Canis lupus familiaris: one gene and its partner. The protein of the gene in region 2 purifies or fractionates together with the protein of the main gene of each other region. This does not show direct contact. Links are inferred from orthologs where the notes say so. Each region holds a gene or a part of one and is shown on either strand. Other genes may lie near its edges.

What was found. The genes of interacting proteins can lie anywhere in the genome.
Region 1: the proteins of TMEM43 (region 2) and BZW2 purify together in Homo sapiens (affinity purification with mass spectrometry; 3 studies listed by BioGRID and IntAct, counting the BioPlex papers as one, with this or other methods). This does not show direct contact. The link is inferred for Canis lupus familiaris from reciprocal best matches to the Homo sapiens genes TMEM43 and BZW2.

What each region holds. Positions count from the first base shown.
Region 1 is NC_049235.1:31,252,217-31,259,532, reverse strand, and holds part of BZW2 (basic leucine zipper and W2 domain-containing protein 2), read right to left. Parts: intron 6,952-7,316; coding exon 6,781-6,951; intron 4,447-6,780; coding exon 4,300-4,446; intron 2,949-4,299; coding exon 2,810-2,948; intron 1-2,809. UniProt on the Homo sapiens protein: Translation initiation regulator which represses non-AUG initiated translation and repeat-associated non-AUG (RAN) initiated translation by acting as a competitive inhibitor of eukaryotic translation initiation factor 5 (EIF5) function.
Region 2 is NC_049241.1:4,306,865-4,314,665, reverse strand, and holds the start of TMEM43 (transmembrane protein 43), read right to left. Parts: upstream 5,302-7,801; 5' UTR 5,105-5,301; coding exon 5,093-5,104; intron 1,071-5,092; coding exon 921-1,070; intron 18-920; coding exon 1-17. Other genes in the region: CHCHD4 (mitochondrial intermembrane space import and assembly protein 40), read left to right, coding at 5,653-5,674. UniProt on the Homo sapiens protein: May have an important role in maintaining nuclear envelope structure by organizing protein complexes at the inner nuclear membrane. Required for retaining emerin at the inner nuclear membrane.

The DNA.
Region 1 (7,316 bases), on a different chromosome or scaffold from region 2:
CAGAGAGAGATTAAAAGTGACAGGAGAAATTATTTATTTCTATTACATTTTTAAAAACCTGCTTTAAAGCAAAATATTCCTTACAATAAATAAAGGGAATCCACATTACTACATAAAAGAAGCAAAAGAGATACTATTTGGTATTTGTTGAATGTGTGTGTGTACATGGAATTAAACAGAAGTATAATCTTGGAGCATGCATGTTCTTATAGTTCATAGAATTTGTCAGTTCTGGCATTTTGTAACTCTTTAGACCACTGGTCCTGACCAACAGTCACAGCATCACCTGGAAATGTGTTAAAATGCAAATTTGTTGGGCCTGAACTTGGACCTTCTGAACCAGAATCTCTGGGGAATCTGTTTTAATAAGCTCTCTAGGTGATTCATATGCACAGTAGCACTGGGGAAGAGAGTGCTTTAATACATACACACTATTCCTGAAGCATTTCGAGGCATATGAAATACAGAATAAGAATATCCAAGTCCTCGTAAAACAAAAAATGTACATTTCCTGGTGCACAGATGTTTGTTGGATAAAATTAGGTCGAATAAAAAACCACTATCCAAAAAAAGGTAAGAAGGTAAACACTAACTCTTAATAGTAGGGTGGAAAGATCATTCCTCGGGGATTCCATGTTTCCAAGAGGAAAAAAAAAAATCTAATTATTTCATCCAGTATAATAGCCTATCTGTATAATTTTGTGGGAAATTATGAAACTACCTAGGAAATAACACTTAGTTTTCATTCCTCAGTGATGTATTTTCGGTTTCCATTTTATGGTTTCCTGATTTCATTCACGAAAATAACTAAGCCATAATAAAACTGACGTTGACACCTTCCTGTGTTCCCTTGGGTTCGCTCATACTTTCCACAGACCTGACTTTTAACTACTTAAAACCTGACCACCTAGTTAATTAATGGCCTTAGGAAGAGCTATTGCTTTTTTTTTTTTTCTTCTTGGTATCCACTTCTCTGTTAATTTTGTAATTCCAGGTCTCTGTTTTTTTGCATGTGGAGATGAAGAATAAGAAATCACTCAAAGCATCCAGTTTTGTTGTCAATAGATGTTATAAGGAGTACAGTGGGAAAGAATGTTGACATTAATGGTTAAAATGAGAAATCTGAAAAAGAATTTTAATAGATGCCATTACTGACAGAGTAGTACGTGTATATGTGTGTGTGTGTGTGTGTGTGTGTGTGTGTGTGTGTGAAAATCAAGTTCATTAATAAAATGAAGTGCTCCTGCAGATAAGGCTCAAACAGTATGTCTCTGTTACAAAAAGATTTGGTTAGTTGGGTTAGCTTTTTTTTTAAATATAAATTCATTTTTTATTGGTGTTCAATTTGCCAACACCCAGAATAACACCCAGTGCTCATCCCGTCAAGTGCCCACCTCAGTGCCCATCACCCAGTCACCCCCACCACCCCCCGCCCACCTCCCCTTCCACCACCCCCAGTTCGCTTCAGTTGGGTTAGCTCTTAAGTGACAAGAAAGTAAACTGTGTGCTTAGGCTAGTAGTTTACAAACAGTTTGCTTTTCTGTAGGGGATAATCCTGGCCACTCACAAAGCAAATGTGAAACCTGTCTCAGAGGTCTCTCTCTACCAGCTTACAGTGAAGTGAGCAATGGTTAGTGTGGACAGAGTGGCCACGGGCTGGGTGTGCACGGTTTCTCTTTCTTGGCTACTGGGTACCGCAGGTGGGTAGCCATATGACCCTCAGGTTGGGTTCTGATGGGTCACCTTGGGCATCCTCTAAGCCCTAGTTTTAGGACGTCAATATCTCCTGACACCATGTCCAAGAGGACCTAATTCAGATCTGGCCAGAGAAACACACCAAGTACTGAACTTCAAATGGGACGTGTAAGCACATACTCCTACTGATATAAAAATTGTGCTGAATACCCTCATGCTGAGAAAGTAAAATATTACCCAAACACTTGTAGCCAAGATATGTGCATCGAAGAATCTGGATAATTAGAACTCTGTGAAATGCTATTTTAAAAATAGCTATTAATCAATAATATAAAATTCTTACACTCCACATGTCCAAATTATCATTCAAAATAGACAAATTTAAAAACGCATAGAAAGGAAAAGAAACATTTAGTTGATGTTAATCATTTTATAATGTTCAAAGTGTATCATTTCTTAAGTGCTCCTTCTTCCCCCCATAAAACTATGTGAACTCAGACCAAAGAATAGCCCAGGATCATTTTTTGTATACTACAGGTATAGAAAATGAGATCAGTTAACATTCTAATAGTGTTCACTTATTAAAGGCAGTGCTAGTTGTCATGACAACTTAATCCTTCCAAATACAATGAAAAGACAGTAAAGTGTAAATTCTAAAAATAATCATTTCCATGAAGAACAGGAGAATGGCTGGACCAGATAATTAAAATACAAAGTAAAAAGCTAATTATTTCAGTAATTTTAGTCAGCTTTTTAGCATCTGAGCAGGTCTGAATATACTACAGGCAGCCCTCAGTAGTCACTGTTATTAGAGCTAATCCTTAAAATTCAAAAGCAGACCTCATTACTTTTTGTTAGTACAGTCTTTTTCACCATCCCTCCCCACCCAAAATAATAACCAGTTTATCATCAGCCTTCTGGCAATGGGCCCAGGGGCCTAATCATGCCTATATGGCATTTGCACTTTCTCTTTTCACATAATATGGTTGCCTCACTAAAACTTGCAAAAATTAGCATGAACCCCATTTCCCCCTTTGCCTCCCCCAACCCTGTGCTGGGCCTCAAAGAGCTTCAACAAAACATGGAAACGTTGTAGAGTAACATGGACAGATACCTTTATAAAAGAGAACCACGATCTTCTGAAAAGCTTTCATGAAATGGATGTTGTCGTAACAGTATTCTTGAACCTTCTGGAGGAGGATCAGTTCTGACTGGCCCTGGGAACTAAACACAGCCAGCAGTGGAGCATATTGCTGGAACAGAAGTGGGGAATAAGACCAACCATTAATTTTCATGGGAAGTACAGGGCCAACAATACTTGAATCACAGCTGGAATCTGGGGGATTTGCTTAGAAAGCATTTATTTTTAGGATTATAACAGTGTCCAATCAGAATTTATCTTTTATCTTAGCGTCATATCAGATTTCTTCACAGCACCCACTAAAAGAAGAAGAGATCAAATATGAAATTCTGACTTTATTAAAGGCCATGTACTACGTCATCTACTGGGCACTATAAAAAGAAAATAGAGTGAGGTCTTGGAGTGGCCACATTCGGTATTGGTGGAGTGTGGAGTTTTCTTTTCCATACATCCCGGACCCCCCTCACAGGTCATCTTTGTGGTTTTGTTCATTTTGTTCATATTGCTCCTTTGTCCCAATTGTCCCTGGTTTCCGGTCCCTGATGTATAGCCACCGTTTTTTCTTAAGACCTAACTAACCCCATTCACAAATTTCCTCCAAGGAGCCCTCCCGGATCAAGTTAACCTGCAGATTTTACTCACTGCTCTGTTCTAAACCCTGAGAGTTCTTTAATTTACATTCTACCTAATTTCTACTAGGTAGTTTTTGACTTACTAGTTCAAATGTAAACTCTGAAGGAAGGATCTAAGTCTTTCACTCATCTTAATATAGGTTTATAGGGAGTAAACAAGCAAAAACATGTATCCATGAAAAAAACATGCAATTTACACAATGAATTGACTTCCGACCAATCAGACACTTCTCAAATTCTAATGCCAATCAGTAGTCTACTTAAAATTACCAAGAATTTTTGTCATGTAGAAAGAAAAAAAACAAAAACAAAAACAAAACAATAGGCCATATTTTTCTTTAAATACTGAATATGATTATTCTGTGAATTTTCTGACATTTCTGACATTATTTTTTTAAGGTTATTTATTTATTTATTTGAGATCAAGAGAGCATAAGCAGGAGGAGGGGCAGAGGGAGAGGAAGAAGGAAACTCCCCACTAAACAGGAAGCCCGACACGGAGCTTGATCCCAAGACTCTGGGGTCATGACCTGAGCCAAAGGCAGACGCTTAACTAATGGAGCCACCAAGGTGCCCCCGACATTGTGTTTAGTAAGAATTTACTCTTTGATATTTCATAGGCCCTTACCTCTGAGACATTTTAGATAATGGCAAATTTGAAATCAAAACAAAACAAAATAAACCCACAACAACAACAGAATCAAAGAAAAAAAATGGACATCTATCTTTGGCCTAAACCTGGGTGAAGTGCAGTTAGAACCCATGTGTCAAATGTAGAGTTGACAGCTGCCATAGGTCTACAGCCACGACTGTGCCCTCTTGAGTCTGTACCTTCAGGTGCTTAAGGGCCTGCTCCGCAACCAGTTCTTCCTTCTTGTTCCATTCAACAGCATTCATTATACAGGTCCACAGAAGTCCAATCACTGCTGTCTCTGGAAGATCATTCCTCTTCATTTCTTCTTTGACGTAGAGCACCACCTACATTTCAGGGAGGAAGGGGTCAAAGAGGAACAGGCAGATAGGAGGCTCCCTCTCACTGTGCCTGGTCAGTAAAAGGTTTTGGGTGGATAAATATTCTGCTCAGTCCCTCTTTTCCTGGGACATATTCTCAGAGGACAAGAGGGAGGAAAAACACAATGATGTGTTCTCGAAGCAGATTTATTTTTAGTCCAAAAATTAATAGGCTCAGCTCTGGCCAGGAGTTGCTGGGTAGTAAGAAATAAGAGGGAATCTTTGTTCCTTAGGAGTTAATTCTTTTACATGCAGCAACCCCCCTTGGGTCCGGCAGAGCAGATTACGTGGGCCAATTTGATTCTCTCATGGGGTTTCAAACAAGGGGATGGAGCCGGGACTCTTTTCCTCCGATCCTCAACTCTCAACTTTAAACCCGTTGATGAATGATGTCTTGGGTTTGTGCAAGTCCATTCACTATAATTTATTCCTTAATGATTATTTCTGATGACCCTGATTCCCCATGTGAATAAACTGTAAAGTGCAGAGGCAATTTTTTTAATATGATACATATTAATCCAACAACAACAGACAGGTTATTTTCTCCCTTAGAATCATGTTTAAATATGCAAATTTATCCTCCAATCAGATGGCCTGGAATAAAAGGTCTGCCTAGCTTAATCAAACTTGTTTAGAAAAGTCTTTTCCCTTTTGAAATATAATCATAAAGACAGTGATGAAACACCATAATCTCTATCAAGTATACTACTGCTTTGTGAATAGCACAACTCTCGGGCCTGGTCCCCACTTATCAGTGAATATCATAGTTTTCTTTCCTCCTGGCTGGTGTCATAAATGGGTTAAGTGGCCTTAGAGAAGAGAGGGGACTGGGAGGTCCCAGTGCCTGAGCTGGCTGGAGGAAGCTGCCAAGATAGGTGACATCCTTGCATCCAGAAGCATCAGTGTTATGATGTTGGTTTTGCTTTTTTTTCCTCCATCGAAAAGTCATGTTCAAGTTCTTACTTGGAGAAATGTTCCTGAATACATTACTGACCTTAATGCCGTGAGACTTAGAAATATTTTTGTCACAACACCTCCATCTGCTGGATAGCATTGGTCCAGAATTCTCCAGCCACATAAGGTACCGGGTGGGGCTTAGAGCACAGAGCGCTAAGCATTTGGGACTTGGAAGTGAATGGCAAAAGGAAAGGACTTGATTTAATTTTGGATTATCATGTAAAAACTGTTAAAGTTCAGATAGGAGGTTTTCTGCAGATGGGAGTTTTTTTTTTTTTTTTTTTTAAGATTTTATTTATTTATTCACGAGAGACACACACACAGAGAGGCAGAGACACAGGCAAAGGGAGAAGCAGGCTCCATGCAGGGACTCGATCTCGGGATCATGCCCTGAGTCAAAGGTACAGGCTCAACCGTTGAGCCACCCAGGTGTCCCAGATGGTAAATTTTTTAAAAATTAAAAATATATAGTCACAGTTATACAAACTACCATTATAAAAAAAGGTAGTATTTACATTTACAGGGATACACAGCTATTGCGAGTATGATCAAATAAGCCACTGGCCCAACTGCTCTTTTCCCAAGATATAAATTAAAAAACCATCAAAATTTTTTGTCTTAAAATAAAAAAACCCCCTACATATTCATACCCAGTGATCCCTGAAATACCCAGTGTTGATTTCAATTTTTTAAAAAATTTTTTAAAAATTTATTTATGATAGTCACAGAGAGAGAGAGAGAGAGAGAGAGAGAGAGGCAGAGACACAGGCAGAGGGAGAAGCAGGCTCCATGCACCGGGAGCCCGATGTGGGATTCGATCCCGGGTCTCCAGGATCGCGCCCTGGGCCAAAGGCAGGCGCCAAACCACTGCGCCACCCAGGGATCCCCCAGTGTTGATTTCAAATACTAACCATATACTTAGCCATATTATAATATCTGCGATAAAATGGAAAACCCACTCTATAATGGTGTATATGGTGTATATAATGGTGTATATATGGTGTATATATAATGGTGTATATGTATATTACCTTACACCATATGTATATGGTGTATATGTAATGGTGTATATGGCAACTCTATTTAACAGATGAACTATTCGGCTAATCACAGTAGCCTGATAAAATAAATCACTTGCGTGGAAATGACCATCAATTTCTGGAACATGCTAGAGGATTCTGAATCAAAACTTTGCAATTATGCTAGTTTAAATGGTATAAACAAATACATAAAATTCACAGAAGTAAAAAAGGAAGTCTCCTTCAGGAAGGTCAAGTCTGTGCCACATGATGTTACTGCTCCCATTCATGTGTTTTGCAGTGATACAAGCCGATGGTTTCCTACCTCCTTGATTGGGCATTCCTGAGAAAGACGCTCCTGGAGCTCCTTCTGCAGCTCCTTCCTGGTGCCCAGGGACTGCTGGACTCGGAGGAAGTCGGAAAGCTCCTTTAGGCCTGCGTCAGTGAAGTATTTAGCAAAATGATCCACGCTCTGCCTATTAACTGGAAAGAGTTCCTGAAAGACAAAAGGACAAAGACTATTAAACAAAAAACTATTCATATTTCAGTAAGCATAAAGGACAACATTTTCATATTAAAATAGCACTCAGGCCATCTCATATTTGGAAGACCAGAACAAAGGATGATTGTCAAAAGAACAAATCTTGGGTATATTTCTTGAGCATTCACTAAGCACCTTCTAAAATTAGGCAGTTTTATAGAAAAAGAGAAAAAAATGCTAACCAACTTATATAAACTGGCTTCACTCATTGTGAACCAATATTTACTATCTCTTTCACTTTAATCAAAGTGTAGCATGTATGAATACAGAAGTAAACTTGCTAAATTAAATGCAAATAATATAACTTAGGAGTCAAAAGG
Region 2 (7,801 bases):
GTCTTCAGTGCACGGCCCTGGGAGCAAAAGGGAGTGAGGATTTCAACTCAGGTGTGGTTCAGCACAGTTGTGCTCACTGCAATGTATCTTGGCAGGAGAGGGCCTCAGGAAGCATGAGGACTTATCTCCCCATTTTACAGTTGGAAAACTGAGGCCTAGCAAATGGCATGGTTGGAACTAGAGCCAAAGCTCCTGCTTTTCCAGGCAGCTCTCTTCCTGCTGCCCCACCCACCCCACACCCTCTAATTCTCAGCACTACCCCATGCTGGGAGCAGCTGGTGCTTTTGTCTGCTGTGTGCTCCCTCCCTGTCTTCCCCCACCCTCTTGCCTGCCTTCTTCTCAGTTCTTGTGGTTTAAGGGGGGGGGGGGGGGGATTGTATCATGTGACTTAGGCCGAGCCAATCAAACAGGGGTCGACTGTCCACAAATATTAGTTCAGAGAGAGAACTGAGACAAGCCAGGACACGGAGACCTCTCTCTGCAACTTTTGCTATACTGATTTTGAAAGAGATGGGGCTGCTAAGCTGGTTACATGTGACCCTGGAGTTGCTGAGCCACCTTTACCACCACAAAGGAAGAGCCTGTCAAAGAAAAGCCCACAACAGAGAAGCAGAGGCAAATGATGGAAAAATGGAGATTCCTAGTGACCCAACATGAGCACCTGGATCCAGCCATGCCCGAAGCTAGTCCTACCTTAGGATTTCAGGCCTGTGAACTGATCCATTCATCTTCCTACTTAAGTCAGTTATGAGATAAGTCACACGAGAAAGATTCTGATTAATTCAGCACCATCACTGTCCCCCTCCATCCCACCTGTTGTAAAATCTAGGCCACATCCAACCTCTGGATTCACACCCTTTGCTAGGAAGACTATCCTCCAGGGACCCTCACTCTGCACAGAGGGACTCTAGACATTTTACCTCATTGGTGAAAATTAGGTAGAAGGAGAGCAGGAAGGTCATGAGCCCCACAAACATCCCACCCGAGGTCTCGCTGAGCCGCTCCAAGAAGCCTGGCTGGGGCTTGGTCGTAGTTTTGACATGTTCTCTCCTGTTACTCGTACTGGAATACTGAGAAAAAGAATATTACAAAAAAAAAAAAAATCAAAATGAAAATTAGTTTTTTAAAAAATAAACTGAATTTTGTTATTTTGCTATTTGTTCATATGGTTCGAGTTTCGATTACATACAGTAAAAATGCAGATATTAAGCATCTGGTTTGATAGGCTTTGACAAATGCTTACTCCATTTGACCAGCATCCAGATCAAGATAGGGATTGTTCCTATCATCCCAGAAAGTTACTTTGTGCCTCTTTCCTGCCAATACTCTCCTCTCCCACTCCCTAGTGTTAACAACGATTTGAATTTGTATCATTATAGATGAGGTGACCTCTTATGGAACAAATGGGGCCATCACACACCACAAACTCTTTCTGTCCAGATTCTGAGGAGGGTCATCTACCCTGTGGTGTGTATCAGTAGCTCACTCCTGTATGCGGCCGAGTAGCGCTGCACCTATGAGTATACCACGTTTGTCAACTCATTCACCAGTGGGTGGGTATTTTGGTTACTTCCAGTTCTTAGCTATCATGAACAATGCTTCTATGAACGTTTTTGGAGAAGTTTCTGTGAAGACATAGGGCTTTCATTTCCTTGGGTACTAGGTAAGGAATACCCACAGAGGGGTGAGATTGCTGAATCATAGGGAAGAGGTGTGTTTTTATGAAACTGTCAAACCGTTGTACAAAGCCATAACTAGGCATGTGTTATTCATTCAATTCAACACACGGTGGCTCAGCTTCCCAAGGGCCGTGCTGGGTCTTCTAGGAGTGAGGGAAGGGAAGATAGGCTGCAGGGCCAGTGAGTTGCAGGCATGCACGGTACTAGGCCATGCTGAGTGTTTGGTGAGGAGCAGATCCAGGGCTAAATGGGTGACCCCTTCCAGCTGGGGATCTCAGCAGGCTCCCCAGAGGAGGGGGCGTTTGATTGGGATCTCAGAGGCAGACCCTGGCGTAAAGCATCCCTCGGAGGGGGATCTGTTTGAGCAATGGTGAGGAAGCAGGAAGTAGTTCTGGGAGCAGAGCTCTGGCTGGGTTTGGGGAGGCACAGGGTGGAGGGAGAGGAGGGCAACCAGACACAGGTGGGTTTGTGGTAGGCCTCAATCTCCAGAGTCAGTGGGTCAGGTTTTATCCAGCTGATAACAGAAGCATGGTCTGAGGTGTGTCCACTGCTGACTGAGTATCATCGTCAAGGGATCCTGGAGCCAGAGTGCTGGGTCTGTATTCAGGCTATGAGACCTTGGGTGAGCAATTATCCCTCTTATGCCCTCCATCTCCTCAGCAGTAAAATGGGATGAAAATCCAGTACACAGGGTTGTGGTGAGAACCAAAGGACTTAATTATCAGGCAGCTCAGTGCCCAGGACACAAGATGGAATGTACAGGTGCTAGCTGGTGGGAATGCTCCCAGCTTTCTCTGTAACGGGCACCCGAGACTGGTGCCACGGCTGGGGGTAAGCTGACAGAAGTCACAAAGGTGGACAGTGGTTCTGAGATGCGCACTTGGAGTGAGCCAAGCACCTGGCACGGGGGACCAGAGGAGAGATTCAGGTCAGCCTCTGCCCAAATAAGGCTGATGCCATAATCTCTGACTGTCCCCCAATGCTCCAGCCCAGGCCCGCAGGGACCAGATGTTCATTACACTCAGAAATGGTCTAACTTCCAATTCCATTGGGAAACGGTTAATAGAGCGGTTCACTGCAGGCAGGTAGGTGGCCATCCACCATCATAATGATGACGAAGGCACTACGCCAGTCTATCACAGGCCAGTCACTGGCAAGCTATCGCTATCCCATTTCAGAGCTGAGAAAAGCAAGGCTTATCAGTTAAGTCACCAGCCCAGATCACCCAGCCTCTAAGAGGGATAATTAGGTTTCATATCTGGACAGACCAGAGGCCACTCTTCTACCACTGTGCTCCAAGCCACATTCCTCACTTCTTGGGCTATAAGGAGAGCCGAATGCTGGGAGCCAGCAGCAGAGAGTGTCAGGAAAGGGAGTCCATCCTGCTATTAGCAGTGCAGCCCCCAACTGGGAAGCCAGAGGGCATGACTTCCAGAACTCTGGGCCTCCCCTCAGCATACATCTAGGAGCCACATCAAGGAGAGCGGCTCATGGAAGACCTTGAAGGGAAGAAAGAGAGGCACAGGAGGGTGCAGCTCAGGCAAGGTGAGCACTGACATGACACACTCAGCCCACATTCCAAAACAAAATCCAGTAAACATGGATGGTCTTGGGATGGAGGATCATAGAGATTTCCTCCACCCACAGCTCACTACCCACTCTATTTCCCAGTGCCTCTCTTCTCCCCCTTCAAGGCCACCTCTGAGCCCCTTATCTTGATGTTGGCTCCTTGATATGTGCTGAATACATATGCATGTCCTCAGTGAGCACTCTAGGCTCCTGAGCAAGAGCAATGAGTGATGGAACAGAGGTTACACACAGGCCCTGAAAATTACCCTGTATTACTTGCTATCTAACCTTCTGATCCTATTTGCTCACTTATAAAATGGAGATGGTTCACAGAACCTCTGTCACAGGGCAGTTTTGTTGTTACATCGATGAAGAAATCATGCCACCTCCTTGCACCACCCCACCACCTTCAGATCTTTCTTCCTCACCAGGCCTGGTGGCTCCTGTAAACGTGCCTGGATGACTCAACAAAGGTTTGGCTGCAGAAGATACCCACATTCATACACATTCCTTGGCAAAGGTCAGGTGCCAGTACACCCAAGAGAGTCTCTGCTCACCAGGGCCATCTGCGGCAGACTGTGAACCTAGATTTTTTTTTTTCATGCATTAAGTAAGCACCCTCTCTGCACCAGGCACTGTGCTAGTCACAGGCTGACTCCCTTAAACTTCACACTAACAGGTCCCACGAAGAAACACCGGCCCAGAGTGATTAAGGCCACACAGCTTCTCAGAGGAAGAAACTGGATTTGCTCCCAGGTCGGCCTGACTCCAAAGCCCGCGCTCTTCAGCATCTTCCCATGCAGTAGCTGGCCACGCAGGCTGTGAGACCCCAGGCAAGTGCCTGCCTAGTGGGCAAATCCTCAATCTGTAAAATATTGTATGAGGGCAGACAGGGGTCTACCTCTGGGGGCAGGCTGGTCTCCTGACTGTCCTCTCCCCTGGCAGCCCCTGGGTCTTGGGCCACCCCTGAGGCTTTCCTAGGCGCAGCATTCACGACTTCTAGGTCTCCCAGACAACTCTGGCTGAGGTGGAGCGTCCTAGGGCTGTGGGTGATACAAACCCTGCCTCTCCAGGGGCGTGGAGGGCAGGGAGGACCCTCGGGGACATTAGAGAGGCTGGAAAGAGGGTGTAACAGGCCAGGGGACAGTGGCTAGGCCACTCCAGCAAAGCAGGAGGGAGGGAGTGTCCTGGGGCTGGCAGGGCACCAGGGCTGGCTCCAGAAGCACTTGCACAGAGGAGGGGAGTGGTGAGTCACCAGCCTTCCCACACCCAGCACCCTGGTGGGAGGCGCTGCTCGGTTTGTTGAATGAATGCTGGGCGTACATCGCGAAGTCCCCGAGGCAGGCTGGCTGCGGGGAGACACGGCAGGAGGCCTCTGCAGGGAACCACCTTCGGCCAGGGCCCCTCCAGCCAAACACACCGAGGGCACAAGGGCCGGGCCGCGGGTCCGCCTGCTCCCGGTCCTCCGCGCACTCCCGCCCGCACCCTCCCGCGGCATCCCACCGCCGCCCGCACACCGCAGTCCGTCCGTCCGCAGATGGGGCCCGCCCGGGCGGTCCCGGCTTCCCTGGCTCCTCGGAGGTCGCGCCGGCCCCCGCAGCCCCTGCAGGAGGAGCGCAAGGGCCCAGGCGGGAACCCAGAGCGACGCAGGGGCTGCGGGAGGGGCCCTGGCACAGACCCCGACGCGCACCCACCGCGTCTCCTGAGACCCCCGCCCCGCAAACGCGCGGCCCGGACGGCCGGACAAGGCCCCGCAGAGGGCGCCAGGCCGCCAAGCCGGACCCCGGCGGCCGCTACGAGGAGCGGGGAAGCCTGCGGGGTCCGGCGGACCGGGAGACACTCACGTTCGCGGCCATCCTGCGACCCGGCCGGGCGCTCGCCCTCGCTCTGCTCGGCTACGGGAGGGGCTGGCCGCCTGCGGGCAGAGCCCGGCGGCCTCCCGCCTGCTCCGGAGCTGCGAGAATTCGCGTGAACCCCAGAATCAGGGAGGACGCGCAGCAGTCACCGGCCCGCGAGCCACCGCCCTCCCGCTCCAGCGCGCCGCAAGGCCTCCTGGAATATGTAGTTCCGGGGCAGGCGCCGTAGCCACCACGCTGCAACGCGCCGCGGACCTCACTGATGCGCCTGCGCACCGCAAGTCATGAAGGGATATGTAGTTCCTACTGCCTCAGCGCCCCGAGCCGCGCGCGGATCCCTGGGGAATGTAGTTCCCGGCTGAGAGGGGCCGGGCTGGGGCTGGGAGGGCGCGGAGGCAGGCGCGCGGCGGGCAGGCCTGGAGGGGGCGGGTCCGCGTGGGCCTCGGCGCCGCCCGCCCTGCCTAAGAAGAGGTCACCGCGTGAGCCCGCTGCCGCCTGTGCCGCCACCACCGCTACCGCCGCCAGGTCTGAGCCCCGGGGCTGCAGCCATGGCCTACTGCCGGCAGGAAGGTAGGGAGGTCGGGCTGCCATGGAGACCGGCCTACGAGGGCCTGCAGGGGACATGCGGGGCTGCCCCCCCGCGGCCGTGCAGGCCCCGGCGTCCCGCGACCCCATTGCGGGCGCGGGCGGCTGCAGGCGCGGCCCGGGGCCCCCTCTTCGGGACCCTTGGGAGGGCCTGGCGGTGGGGCCGCCACCTCCGCCTTGCAAATGAGAGGACGGAGACCGGGAGGAATGAGGCTGGTCCAAGGTCACTCTGAGCCTCGAACCCGGACCTCCGTAGGATCGGCACGTGGGAGCCTTGTAAACTGGGGGGGGCACGGGAAGTGCTCAGCCCGCTTTCTCTGGCTTGTAATTGGGGATTTATTGTTTTTACTACCGCTTTTGACCACACGTCGCGCGTTTTCCTCCGCACGCGCTGTACAGGAGTGCTCAACGTGCCACCCACGGGTGCATCTACCGAGCGCCTACTACGCCTGAGGCACCGGACCCCGTCGGCCCTGGAGCTGGGGTTCGAGCTGCCGCAGTCCTGATCACCGCCCAGTCTGGTGCCCCTTGGATTCCAGGAGCTCTCAGCTGGAACAGCACCACCTCCACCTCCACCACCTCCACCTCCACCACCTCCACCTCCACCTCCACCACCTCCACCTCCACCACCTCCACCTCCACCTCCTCCTCCTCCTCCTCCACCTCCTCCACTACCACCTCCACCACCTCCTCCACCTCCTCCTCCACCACCACCTCCACCACCTCCACCATCTCCACCACCACCTCCACCTCTACCACCTCCACCTCCACCTCCAGCAAACATTCCCACCACCTCTATCACCTCCACCACCACCTCCACTTCTCCAGCAAAGTGCCCATCTCCTCCCACCTCTCTCCGGTTTCCTTCATCTGTTCCTACCTCTGCTGAAGAACCCAGGAGTCCCAGGGCCTCCCCACACACTGCCACTAACTAGCTTTCTGTCCCTGAGCTGCCATCTAACCAGGCCCCAGTTTCCAGTCTTGTAAGATGAGAAGTTGGTCTTCATTCATTTAGCAGATCACTCACGGGCATCTTGGCTGTGCCTGTTGATAGGAATGGTGGACACATGAGAAAGTAAAGCTACACAGAGAGTTGGAACTCACCCAGAAATTCTTTGGTGAATAGTCAGTCTGGTTCCCTTAGTTTGTTTCAGGGATCTGAAGACCAGAGGAGATGACCTACCCAAGGTCTTTCATACATCCTGTTAGAACAGCTCAGTCTAAAATGTCAAGCTTTTTCCCCAGTACCTCATTCTGCTTTTGGACCCACTCCTTTCTGGGGTCATAAAGCCATAATACTATATTTTTCTAATACTCACTGATGTCTCTCCTGAGTACTATTTTTAGTGATAAATAGTGGTGCCATGAACAAAAGTTCTCTGCCCTCACCACTTTGTTAGTAGACCTCTTTTTTTAAAATTTTCTTTCTCTGGGTTTCTTTTCTTTTTTCTTTCTTTCTTTTTTTTTTTCCTCTGGGTTTCTGATTTACTTCATTTAGCAAATAATTTTGAGCTTTTTAGATATAATGAGGCTATGCAGATGAGTAAGACCTCTCCTTGCCTGTAAGGATATCTAGGAGTCAGGTTTTTTTGGGAAGGAAAGGTAGTTTCCATCTGCCACCAAAGCATGGATCTTTATCTTTTTCTGGGTCAAAGATCTGTCTCTAATTTGGGGATGAGAATTGAAAGCCCCTACCTTATATGGCTCCAGCCTGACTGGTTGGTTGATTGATTGATTTCTTTTAAGATTTTATTTATTTATTTGAGAGGGGGAGAGAGCACAAGCAGGGGGAACGGCAGATGGAGAGGGAGCGGCAGATTCCCCACTAAGCAGGAAGCCCAATGCATGGGCTCCATCCCAGGACCCCGAGATCATGACGTGAGCCAAGGCAGAACCTTAACCACCTGAACCACCCAGGTGCCTCTCCAGCCTGATTTCTAACTACCCCATCATTGCTGAGCCACACTTGCATCTTGGTTGTACTTTGCCTGATACCTCTGTCCTTCAGCTATTCCCACGGCTGGCTCTTCATTCTGAGTTCTGAATCAGTCACTTGCCTGTGCAAATTTACTTCAAGGGTCCCCACCCCCCACCCTCCAGCTTTCGGGTTAA